3 linked regions of the Caenorhabditis elegans genome follow. The protein of the gene in region 1 purifies or fractionates together with the protein of each later gene. This does not show direct contact. Each region holds a gene or a part of one and is shown on either strand. Other genes may lie near its edges.

Region 1 (3,758 bases):
AATATACAAGCCCCCCTCATCGCCTTATCTGCATGAGAAATAAAAATACGCCCAACTAAAAAGTAATTCCACTTGTTTTTGCGTCAGGCTATATTCGTTTTTCTTAAAGTCAGTGTTTATTGATCTTCTTCAATTTGAGAAAATTAGTCTGATGACCTCTATACAAGGATATGTCAATAGAAACTGACATTTGGACTTTGCATAAAATTGAAAAAGAAGCGGCGGGAAGAGATGAAAACAAACTTTAATTCGATGAGACGTTTTCTGAGTTTTCGAGGAAAAAGGTTCCAACATCCTCTACACCTTTCAAATATTCCAAATTATATTTGAACTAGGTGGACACTTTAATTGTAGTTATATTTTCGTTTCCAACATCATTCACTTAAATCCGCTCTTTGAACATTTATTTCTCAATTTCTTCTCCGTGGGAATTTCAAGTGCTTTGGTTTTTTTGTAAATGCCATAAACTCATAGCTAATCCAAAATTGTATTTTATATATGTGTTTTGAGTGTGCTTTGAATAATTCGACCATATGTCAAGTGTTCGTTTTCCTTCCCTCTTCCGGAAATGTTGCCAAAATTTCGAAACTGGACATCTTCTTGTCTATCAAAAATCGAGATACAATCTTGAGTGGCTCTGTTGGGTTTCGTAATTTTCAAATTTGTTGATTTTTCACGAAAAGCGACTTATTTGGGTTTGTTATGTAATTTCATTGCGTTAATTCATAAAAATTTGAGTTTTATTTTTCTGATGATTGCATTGGTTCTGTTTTTCTCACTTTGGCTGGTTCATAGAAATCTATAAAAATGAAACTCAGAACATGTAGAAAAGTAGGCTACGCTTGTAATGTACTCCTATGGTCAACATCTTTCTTTCAACACCTAATAAATCTTTTGCACACATTCTCAGCTGTTCCAGGCCCTAAGGGAACTCAAGACGTGCAATTTCCAAGTTGCTCTCTTCCATACCAAAATGTCTCGTCTAGTTTTTTTTTTCATCATTTGTTCTACTTACATCTTGACTGTCAGTAATTTTGGGCATTTTCTAATTCTCATTCATTTGTTTTTTTTACTTTCTTTGAGTTCCAATTAAGAAACGAGATAGAATAGAAACGAGACAATGAAAAGAAAAAAGTTCGTTTAAAATTCTATTTTGTTCTGAATAACTTCCATGACTTCAGTCAAGGACAATAGCTTGTTTTGAAGGCATTTGAGATTTCTGGACACTTGCGCAATATAACTAAACAGATACGAAGCAATAGTTGAATTCATTTACGTGTCTACACACCTGGTTTATTATGTTTTTGCTGCTTTTGTTTTCTTTTATAGCAGAAGAAAGTTTTCTCCTCAAACTTCAGAGTTTTCACAATTCTCATTAAACATCCTTAAAAGTATTCCGATATTTTCTCACCCTGCAAAAGCAAAAAGATAATCCAATACCCTTCTCTCACTCCATTTCTACGTATTCTTCCGTTCATTCCTCCAATTCAAGTGCCCACTTGATCTTCCTTGAAATTCGAGACTCACGACTTCTCCTTTTAACTAGCACTTTTAACACGTTTCCACATTCTTCTAGTTTAAGATTTTTCAGAGTAACCACGGAATGCCATTAATTATGTACAAATTTCTATTAGTCACTTCAATATTCTTAATCGTTTCCGGGCTAATATTAACTGCGTTCTCGTTGTTTAGTCCTCTTTGGGAAGTAAGTTTCTAGTCAATAAAATTCTGGTTTTTTTTAAATGTCAATTTTGTAGGTAGTTGATTTTCCTCGTTCTCATTTATCACATCATCACGGTCTTTGGTGGGATTGTATTGTACATCATGAAACTTTAATTCCGTTACATGAAGATCAAGCAGAACTTCGAGGTACCTTTTTTCTGCTTTTGTTTTCTAAATAAAACAAGTTTAAGGTGATCGATGTGATAGTAAGATGGATTCTTCGGTTCAAGCATCATTAAGAGTTGCTCTTGAAAAAGGAGATGAAGAGGCCAGAGAGCTTTTGTTACATCGGTTTCTACGTAAGTTAACAATATTTTAATGCTTTTCATGTGCCGAAACTTACTTTTTTCTTTGTTAGAAAGATAAACTAGAAACTATATAAAACTGATTTACCAAATGCAGGTTCAAGTTATTTTTTAAAATAATTAGAGTGTGAGCGTAGTAGTTCAATAATTTGTTGATCAATTTTCTCTTTCTGGATACAGAAGCGTATTGGCATTGCAACGTACATACACATGTTTGGTTCCATGCTATTAATTCAATTGATTTTCTGTCTTAAATTCTAGGACTGTAATGCTATTTTTTGTAATTTAGTATTTTCTGATCTAGAATATGCGGTAACAATAAATTAGATTTTACTGTCCAAACACAAAATTACTGAAGATACAAGTTGATTTTATATTCTTCATGAAACCAAAAAAAAATTAATTTCAGCTCATCACAAAGGTGTAATTTTCTTCGCAGTTTTCACTTTTGTTTTCGGACTAATCTCCATCCTGATTGGCTCCTGTTCTCCATGTTTTCCACCAAATGCACTACTTTATGTAGTTGGTGTCTTTATGACCGGAGCATGTTCTTTATTAGCAGATATTATCTACATATTTGCTTTTAATCAGAAACCAATTTTTACAAAAGAACAATCTGAGCCACACCAAGAAGTTTTATCGAGAAGAGAACGAGGATCCATTGGACCCATTTATGTAAAAATTCGAAAAAAAATTGATGTCATCTTTTTATTTTTTTTTTCAAATTCCAGAAGCGTCTTGGCATTGCAACGTACATGCATATGTTTGGTTCCATGCTATTAATTGCTGCATTCATCTTTTCAATTTTTTGTGCCTACTTCCTCATCACTTCAAAACATGCACACGACGTTTGTTGCACAAGTCGAAAAGAGTACAGAGAGCAGACAAAGTAAGTTTAATCTGATTTGCGGATTTTTCTAAACATGTAACTTTCGTCTAATAAAACAACTTTCAAGAGTAAAATAAAGGTTTTCAGATGGAAAAACAATGGGCTAATTCTAAAAACTGGAAGAGTAAATCATCAATCACATCGGCCATTTGTAGTGATTGACGATGACAGCAGTATGTGAACTGATATGCTCTCAATTTAAAAATTCTGTGATTTGATCTCTTTATTTTGAAATACGGGTTTTTAACAATTTGATCTTAATAATGAATGTAAATAATGTTCAATTAATAAATGTAAAACAAGAAGTTTCAAAATCAAATTGGAATTTTAAAAATAATTTGTGTCTTTCCATACACTCGCATTTTCATAACTTAGTTTGTCAAAGATCGTACTTGGAGAATCGTTGCTTTAGGTTTTATACCAAACAATATCAAAATTTCTTTTCTCATCTGAAAATCAGGATATAACATTCTTGAGACTATATTTCAACCCTCACAGTTTTACTAAAACAAATCAACAGCCAAGGTTGCACCAAAGATAAACCGTCACTAACAAATGGTAGAACCATTGTAAGATATGATAACATAGAACAATAGTTGCACTTCAATAAAGCAATAGAAATTATTGTTCCAATAAGTTGGACTAAACATGTTATAGACATTATGAGTAAAAAGTTTGTTTCCGCTTTTTTTCTTTGAATATTCAGATTTCGTAAAAATATGACACTTGTAGTATTGGAAAGAATTGAAATTGCCATACAAATGCACATAAATGGAATTAATACATTGTAAATTTCTATGAATGGCTGAAACCTCAATCAAGTTATTTATTTATTTATTTTT
Region 2 (4,620 bases), on another chromosome or scaffold:
CGTCGTAACAAAATTTAAGACCACTTTAACGTATTTTCCTAGTGATTATTTTACTGGGGACCGTGTTAAATATTTTTAGTCTAATTTTTACCCTAACACTTACTATGAGCAGTTCAAATTGTAGCCAGATGTCTATTTAACAAATCTGCATAGTTTCAGAAAACAGCTAGTTTTCAACTGGCAGATATTACCTAGAACACGTTCCATATTTTAAGTCATTATTTGTAAAAACAGTTCAGTGAATAACGTCCAGTTGGTAGGCTGTGTTGCAAATTCTGTCAACTTCATAATTTTGAGAAAATTAATTTTAAAAAACTAAAAAAAACAAAGCTAAAACGTTTTAAAAATGTCACGTTTCACGCTAAGGAACATGTTTTCTCGAATTTACGTTAGAAAATCCACATTTAGAAAAACACGTAAAAATTTTTTTTCATTTCACAGTCACTCAGTCAAGCGGACAACAAGGATCTGGAGCCGGAAAACAGACGATAAGTAGGCAGGTAGGTAAGTAGGTATGCTAGGGCTATTATACAACAAAATGGAAATAGTATTAGATGGAAACAATGTTTGCGTTTGAACACTAAATCTATTGGAAAAAGAAAATAATAATGGATAATTTTTGAAGTGACAGAGCATTGGTAAGACGTGCACGAAAACAAAATTGATAATGACCAGATTGGATTTACCAACTTATTAGATAGGGGAAAAGAATCCCTAGTAAAAATTCACTAGGAAAGACGTTAAAGTAGTCTTGGATTTTGTTGCGACGTCGATCGTAAAAAATTTTGATCTACACTTATTGATCTGGCCGCGTAAAGTCGTATTTGTGCCATTCTCGCTTGAAAGGCTGTGAAAGGCAAGAATTCAACCTTTTTCAACCTTTATTGGCATTTTGTATTTTCCCCATTTTGCCCCTCTACGATCATAAAATAACGTTTTTGTCTAGACCAATGGTATAGTAGTAGCATATTCACACGACGTTAAACGGAATAGAGTTTGTGGGTGTTTCACTTAAATAGATTGAAAAAATGGTCCAAAACATAATTAATGTGACTTCTCAAAAACTTCCAAAAATGTTCTAGAGCTTAGAAATTTTTGAGAAGCCTCATTATGAAATTCGGTGGTTTTAATTCAGTTTTAGTCTTTTGAGCAAAATATCTACAAATTCTGTTCTTTTTTTAAAGTAGTCTTGGACTTTGAAACGAGACCTCTGTTAAAATAGATTTCAAAATCGATTTTTGGTGAGCCCATTCAGCATAAATGCGCCCTCATTTAAAGTCGTAGTAGTAAAATAAATACGTGTATAAAAGTATAAAAGCATAAATAAATCTTAAAATTATTCGGAATTTCAGCTAAATTCCCAATCATTAGTTTGAGTTTAGCTTTACTTTTACTTCTAGACACATAACTAGCATGATTTTTTCTTTCCTTGTTTTAGTGACATCGCGGGCACTCCTCGAAACTAGGTCCGCAGAGTGAGCGTCGGTGTTTGCGGACACAGTCACCCTCTCTCCCACCTCTACACACTCACACCTTTGATTCATTCAAACAGTGCCCCCTCCCCCCGTGAGCAATCGTTTTAATGATATTTTGCAGCTGAAAAATGAACGCAAACGTAACTGTCGACGATGCCATAAGCAATGTGAATGTGAGTTTTTAAAATAAAAAAAAGCAAACATACCAGATGTTTTGCAGCTTCTCGACACCCTCGCCATACCCGATGATTTACCCGATATTGAGGCGAGAGCTCTTCCCTTGCTCTATAGGTTTGTAGCGAAACTGAAAGAAGAAAACAAATTCAAAAATTATTTTCAGATCAAACTTCGACACAAACTTCGAAGATCGTAGTGCATTTGTGACGGGAATTGCCAAGTACAGTGAGGAAGCCACCAGGCATGCACAATTTGTGAGTTAATCGATAAAGTGTGGACAGGAAATTAGTCAACAGAAAATTATTACAGAATGACATGCTTTCTGAAGGATTGCAACATGCTGCAAATATGTACACTTGGAGATGTTGTTCGAGAGCAGTTCCAATGGCAAAGTCGAATGATCAGCCGAATCGAACGGAAATCAATGAGATGGTTGTGGAAGTTTTGAAGCCAGAAGTCAGCAAGCTCGGCAGTTTTATGCGATTTACGGTAGGTTAAATTAATTCCAAATTTGGAGTTTAAAATGACAAAAAATAATCGAAAATATTGAAACTTCAGACATTTTCGCATATGAAATTTGAAATTTATTTACCAAGCATTTTTACACAAAAAAAAAAGTTGGAAAATATGATTATTTCATACATTTCACCTGGACAGTTCGGAACTTCATTTATAGGAAATTTGAAATTCCAAGCATTTTTACACGAAAAATTAAATAATTTTACCAATTTTCAACTGAAAACTTCCATATAGGCAGACTTTTTTATACCGAAAATTGGTAAATACTTTTTTACCATAGTAGATAGTTTTTATTTTTACTATAACAACCAATTCCTGAAAAAGTTTTTAAAAAATCCTGGCTAAAAAACTTTTAAAAAGTATATTTTAATAACGATCTTCAATATATATATCAAAGTTTTGGCAAAATGCCAAAATAATATTTTGAAAGTGTCTCACATTTTTGAGTAGAAACATAATTAGAATATAGAATATTTGACCGTTTTCCAAAAACATTATCTTTAATTAGAAAGTATTTTCGAACTATTTTGACCTTCCGAAGTGTTATATCCAGAACAGGGCTGGGACTTTTTCGTTTTCGCGTTTTCGTTTTTTCGTTATTTTCGGGGTTTTGACGAAAATGTTCGAAAAACGAAAATAAAACGACTTTATTTAATTCTGGTATTTTTTCCACTTTCTTTCGAACTTTCGCCGAAATTTTGCTCTCCGGTGTGGATAGTATTGAAAAATCAATTATTTTCTTCTAAGACTCAGTACTGAAGATTAACTTTAAAAACAAAAAAGGCAACAGTTTTCAGTTTTGGATAACAATTAAAATACTCTTTTGCGTAACAATAGATTCATTCATTTTAAGACAGGACGTTTCTTTGTTTTGAGCTCCAATGTTGGGCTATCTTATTGAATGCACCGAATTTGGCTAAAAATTCATTCAAGCAACAAGTAAAACATATTTCCACAGTATCTAATAAATTTTTGATGATTTTTGAAAAATTAAAGCTTGTTGTTTCTTCAATTCAAAAGTTCAAAACACAATTTCAGATGAAAAATAGAGTTACAGTAGAATCCTTATGTTCGAAAAGGGCTTCAAGTTCTATGGCCTATAAGCACTAATAGAGAATATACGGTAGTTTGTGAAAAGTTTTCGAATAAAAATTTTGAAAAATACGAGCTTTTGAGAAAATTTAAAGAAATGTCGCATATTTCGACCCCTACGAATTTAAACAAAATTAAAACATAAAAAATGTCGAAAAAGAAATTTTTTTGGTCGACTTCCAAAACAGGGGTGTGCGGCAAATCTCAAAATTTGCCGAGCTCGGCAAATTCGGCAAATTCGGCAAATTTGCCGAGCTCGGCAAACGGCAAATTCGGCAAATTTGCCGAGCTCGGCAAACGGCAAATTCGGCAAATTGGCCGAGCTCGGCAAACGGCAAATTCGGCAAATTTGGCAAATTTGCCGAGCTCGGCAAACGGCAAATTCGGCAAATTTGCCGAGCTCGGCAAACGGCAAATTCGGCAAATTCGGCAAATTTGCCGAGCTCGGCAAACGGCAAATTCGGCAAATTCGGCAAATTTGCTGCACACCCCTGTTCCAAAATTATGAGTGGCAAAAACTGAGTAATTGCCACTTTTTGACAGTAAATAAAAATTGTTCAAAAAATTTTTGAAAAGTTTTATCATGATATTTGGTCATTATGGGACTAAAGGAGTGGGTTTTAACAATTTACCCACTGGCACTACTCCACCTTTAATGAGCAAAGTACGTCAATGAGAGAGAGGTAAATGAGTACTTGCCACCAAAAAAGCTTTCGAGGCAACATATGGCCTAAAAACTGTAAGTCCAGTTGTAGATTTGAAACAGTGCTATTTTCGTGTTCGTTTTTGTTTTCGTGTTTTAAAACGAACATTTTCGTTTTCGGTTTCGAAAATGAGATTTCGAAAAAGTCCCAGCCCTGATCCAGAAGCCTCTTTTTACAACCACATTTGCCAATTTGAGATGCAATCGCCTAGTTACAGTGGTGACCGAAATAAAATATGCGTTTTATAACTCACAAACTAGGAACTTTGAAAAGAAAATTTCAAATAACAAACTGGTGCCTAAAATGTCTTCTACATGCTGAAAATGTTTCATGATCCAAAAATATTGAAGGACAAAAGATACAGCGGCCAACACGTCGCAGGTTCATTTTTGGCCTTTTCACTTGAAACGCCTATAACTCAAGAATGATGAGTTTTCATGAAGAAGCTTTGGTGGTGAAATAGTTTGCAACTCATTTTCTATTGAATTTATTTTTTTTAAACCAGCAACATAGAGCTGAAAATTAACGCATACGTTTTTCAACCCACTGCTTACTCGGCTTTTTGAAAATCTGGTCATATTGCACAAAACAATATTTGAGCATATATTTTTAATAACGAATGTTGTAGTTACATTTTGTTTAGATTTGAACTG
Region 3 (4,714 bases), 5.9 Mb from region 1:
CCAGATTAGGGTTGTTAGGACAATGCAATTGTTGTGCTTGAACCAGAAGTATAGTATTCTCTTTCACACCTACAGCGAATCTGATATCAATTGGAACAGAACGGAGTCCGGTCACAGTGATGTCGACCAAATAATATATCTCATTAATTTCTACAATACGTTTGACATCAAAATCAAAAGTTCTGTCGGCTGGTCGGTTGACAAGGCGTTGGACGATTTCGTCTAAAGAATAAAAAACCACTCATCAGTCTCATAACAAATCTGAATTACCTTTTGAGAATTTTCTTTCGCACGCTACAAAGATATATTTGTCATCTATGAATGCGCTAATTGTGGTGGCATCTCTTGATCGAATTGCTATCAATAGTGAATCCAGGAAAATGTTTATTACACTCTTTCTCTGATCAACCTGACTGACGGCGTTTTGGCAGTTAAATTGTTTCGCATTAGTCAAGAGAGCACTATTTCCCAAAATCTCTACATCAAAGGCAATATCAATTGGTACAGATCGGAGCCCGGTTACAGTGATGAGGACGGTAAAATGTCCCGCATTTTGTTTATAAGCTGTAACAATGAACTCGACATTTCTGTCTGCTGGGAGGTTGACAATACGTTCGATGATTTCGTCTGAAATATAGGAGAATGTTCAAAAGTTATATAGATACAAGGTGGATCATGATTTTGTGAGATCGTCATTCGCTAGGAATTCTCGATAGTTTACTCGTGCAATCCGAATTAAGATCGTATTCCTTGTAAAAACTAACTTTGGATAATGGCAAACATGTTTGGAACACGACTTATGTTAAAATTTACGAGACAACATTTTGTGCCTAAAACTAGGGCTCCCGCAAAGGCGCCTCCGCCGGCCTCAGCTGTCGCCGCGCCGGCCTCACGGCGTCATCCACGCCGCATGTACAATGAGGTGCGTAACCGCGAACGTCAGAACTGGTCAATTTTCTTTTAATTCAATCAGAAACTCAGAAAAATCCAAATTACGAGCAGTATGTAGTCTACTGGTAAACTAGCCTTTTCTTTCGAAATTTATACGCTCGGGCTGGAAAGAGCCTCTCATAATGGGCAGAAGCCCTGGCAAGAGGAACTTTTGACAACTTGTAAAGTAAGGGCGCTATAAGGTCATAAGCTGAATGTACCCTAATGTATAGTGCGACGCGGAACCCCGAACGTGTCGGCCGCTTCAAATAACTACCTCTCGCACATCATTTCACGCACACTGCGGCGCGCGGCTTCAGCGCGCGGCTTCGGCGCAAGGCCGGCGGGCGTGAAGCCGGCGTGAGGCCCGCATTTCGCGCCTCACTCAGCTGGGAGCCCTACCTAAAACTGAGTTTTATAACAACACATGGTGTCATTCTGTACCATTACAGGTTGATCTAAAAAAAATGAGAGAATGTTTTAAATCATGCAAAATTTGTTAAGAATTCTGACTCTGAATTTCCGCAAATCCTGGAAAATCTAAGTAGATCAAATCGAAAAGGGACACTCTGGCATTAAATGTAACATAAAGCATGTAGAAACAAAGGTGTATTACTTCGTCGACATCACTGTCACCGGACTCCGCTCTGTTCCAGTTGATATGAGATTTGTTGTAGATGTGACAGGGAATAGTACACTCTTGGCTTTTGCACAACAATTGAACTGTCAAAACAACCCCAATCTGGTAGATAAGACCAAAAATCTGTTTGATTTCCTGGACTCGCTGTTGGCAGCAATGCGATCAAGATCAGCATCTGCCATTGGCGCCCTGATTTCTGATTCATATGTATTCAAAGCATGCGAGAGAAAGTTTTCAAAGGGTAAGTGAAATAAAAGAGCACTGTAAAAGTCAGAATAATGCGGACTCGTTGAATGATTTGAATTGAATTGATAGTTCAATTAAGTTCCTTCCATTTACTTTAACATAAACCGTATCCCGCTGTTAAACTACTATAGATCCTTGTCAAATCAACTTTCTTACGACTTTTGGCGACTTGCATTTTTTGAGCCTTCAGGCTTACAACCCTGGGTTTTTACACAGATTTCTATACACTTAGCTTAGGTGAAATTATTTAGTGCAACTGGGGACACAGTTAGAGTAACCCTTGGACAAATACATGCTTTATGTTACATTTAATGCCAGAGTGTCCCTTTTCGATTTGATCTACTTAGATTTTCCAGGATTTGCGGAAATTCAGAGTCAGAATTCTTAACAAATTTTGCATGATTTAAAACATTCTCTCATTTTTTTTAGATCAACCTGTAATGGTACAGAATGACACCATGTGTTGTTATAAAACTCAGTTTTAGGTAGGGCTCCCAGCTGAGTGAGGCGCGAAATGCGGGCCTCACGCAGGCTTCACGCCCGCCGGCCTTGCGCCGAAGCCGCGCGCTGAAGCCGCGCGCCGCAGTGTGCGTGAAATGATGTGCGAGAGGTAGTTATTTGAAGCGGCCGACACGTTCGGGGTTCCGCGTCGCACTATACATTAGGGTACATTCAGCTTATGACCTTATAGCGCCCTTACTTTACAAGTTGTCAAAAGTTCCTCTTGCCAGGGCTTCTGCCCATTATGAGAGGCTCTTTCCAGCCCGAGCGTATAAATTTCGAAAGAAAAGGCTAGTTTACCAGTAGACTACATACTGCTCGTAATTTGGATTTTTCTGAGTTTCTGATTGAATTAAAAGAAAATTGACCAGTTCTGACGTTCGCGGTTACGCACCTCATTGTACATGCGGCGTGGATGACGCCGTGAGGCCGGCGCGGCGACAGCTGAGGCCGGCGGAGGCGCCTTTGCGGGAGCCCTAGTTTTAGGCACAAAATGTTGTCTCGTAAATTTTAACATAAGTCGTGTTCCAAACATGTTTGCCATTATCCAAAGTTAGTTTTTACAAGGAATACGATCTTAATTCGGATTGCACGAGTAAACTATCGAGAATTCCTAGCGAATGACGATCTCACAAAATCATGATCCACCTTGTATCTATATAACTTTTGAACATTCTCCTATATTTCAGACGAAATCATCGAACGTATTGTCAACCTCCCAGCAGACAGAAATGTCGAGTTCATTGTTACAGCTTATAAACAAAATGCGGGACATTTTACCGTCCTCATCACTGTAACCGGGCTCCGATCTGTACCAATTGATATTGCCTTTGATGTAGAGATTTTGGGAAATAGTGCTCTCTTGACTAATGCGAAACAATTTAACTGCCAAAACGCCGTCAGTCAGGTTGATCAGAGAAAGAGTGTAATAAACATTTTCCTGGATTCACTATTGATAGCAATTCGATCAAGAGATGCCACCACAATTAGCGCATTCATAGATGACAAATATATCTTTGTAGCGTGCGAAAGAAAATTCTCAAAAGGTAATTCAGATTTGTTATGAGACTGATGAGTGGTTTTTTATTCTTTAGACGAAATCGTCCAACGCCTTGTCAACCGACCAGCCGACAGAACTTTTGATTTTGATGTCAAACGTATTGTAGAAATTAATGAGATATATTATTTGGTCGACATCACTGTGACCGGACTCCGATCTGTACAAATTGATATTGCATTTGATGTAAAGGTCAAAGGGAACAGTGCTCTCTTGACTCATGCAAAACAATTCAACTGCCAAAACGCAGTCAGTCAGGTCACTCAGACAAAAAGTGTGATTAATGATTTCCTGGATCAACTATTGGAAGCAATTCATTCAAGATCTCCATCCGCAATTGGCGATCTGATATATGACAAGTATATCTTTGAAGCGTGCGATAGAACATTCTCAAAGGGTAATTCAGATTGGTTATGGAACTAATGAATAGTTTCTTATTTTTCAGAAGAAATAATTCAACGTCTTGTCAACCGACCAGCCGACAGGGAAGTGGAGTTCGATGTCATTGAAGTCATAGAATTACCTGAGTATTATCTGGTCGACATCACTGTGACCGGGCTGCGTTCTGTACCAATTGATATTCGATTCGGTGTAGCGGTGGCCGGGAATGGTGGACTTCTGATTCATGCGAAGCAGTTTCACTGTCAAAAAAGCGTCGGTCAAGTTGATCAGAAAAGACAAGTATTGCTAGTTTTCCTGGATTCGCTATTGGAAGCAGTTCGATCCAGATCTGCAACCGCAATGGGTGCCCTGATGAGTGATTCATATTACTACAATGCTTGTGAAAGAATGTTCACAAAAGGTAGGTCAAGTTAGTCAAGTATGACCTGTCGTTCGGCAAATCGGCAATTTGCCGTCTTATTCGTTTGTGTGAAACACATCGAAAAAAGTGAAAAGCTGCCTGGCCTAGCTCCCTTCCGAATCCTGAGCAAGAGAAAATTTAATGCTTACATTGTTAAGCTTGGAGCACGAACGGATCAAAATCAAACGACGAGCACTAGGAGTTGATGGAGCAGACAGCGAGACTTCAGGTGTGGAACTTGAATCGAGTACTGATTTAGCGATTGATTGATGGAGACATGGCTGAGGGGGGAGGTCGATGTCACGTGAGAATTTTTAAATCTTAAAGAGAATAAACAAAAATTAATGATTTTGTCATGAAAGGTCAAACACGTTTCTGTTGTTGGCAGCAATATGAGAAAAAATAATCAAGCTGCAGAGTTGGTCGTTCTGGTCCTGGCGATGATGTGCTGTCGTTTCGGTTGGTCTTCCTGGCAATTTTTGCATTGAGATTATTGATCGGGCAAAATTTGGCATTTTAGCTAAAATCAGTACAATTT

What was found. Proteins that work in one complex are often made in the same cells at the same time.
Region 2: the proteins of hpo-30 (region 1) and gex-2 purify together in Caenorhabditis elegans (co-purification; one study listed by BioGRID). This does not show direct contact.
Region 3: the proteins of hpo-30 (region 1) and F16H6.8 fractionate together in Caenorhabditis elegans (co-fractionation; one large-scale study listed by BioGRID). This does not show direct contact.

The regions. Positions count from the first base shown.
Region 1 is NC_003283.11:12,308,188-12,311,945, reverse strand, and holds hpo-30 (Clc-like protein), read left to right. Parts: upstream 1-1,589; 5' UTR 1,590-1,603; coding exon 1,604-1,705; intron 1,706-1,757; coding exon 1,758-1,869; intron 1,870-1,913; coding exon 1,914-2,021; intron 2,022-2,436; coding exon 2,437-2,702; intron 2,703-2,758; coding exon 2,759-2,916; intron 2,917-3,003; coding exon 3,004-3,097; 3' UTR 3,098-3,221; downstream 3,222-3,758. Other genes in the region: srg-45 (Serpentine receptor class gamma), read right to left, coding at 3,288-3,365, 3,413-3,721.
Region 2 is NC_003282.8:571,173-575,792, forward strand, and holds the start of gex-2 (Cytoplasmic FMR1-interacting protein homolog), read left to right. Parts: upstream 1-1,596; 5' UTR 1,597-1,603; coding exon 1,604-1,648; intron 1,649-1,695; coding exon 1,696-1,766; intron 1,767-1,815; coding exon 1,816-1,906; intron 1,907-1,961; coding exon 1,962-2,141; intron 2,142-4,620. UniProt on the Caenorhabditis elegans protein: Required for initial steps of body morphogenesis. May play a role in egg laying and yolk protein clatherin-mediated endocytosis by oocytes during oogenesis.
Region 3 is NC_003283.11:18,213,153-18,217,866, reverse strand, and holds F16H6.8 (Mediator of RNA polymerase II transcription subunit 1), read left to right. Parts: upstream 1-1,591; coding exon 1,592-1,811; intron 1,812-3,006; coding exon 3,007-3,363; intron 3,364-3,411; coding exon 3,412-3,771; intron 3,772-3,819; coding exon 3,820-4,190; downstream 4,191-4,714. Other genes in the region: F16H6.9 (BPI2 domain-containing protein), read right to left, coding at 1-222, 271-627, 765-783.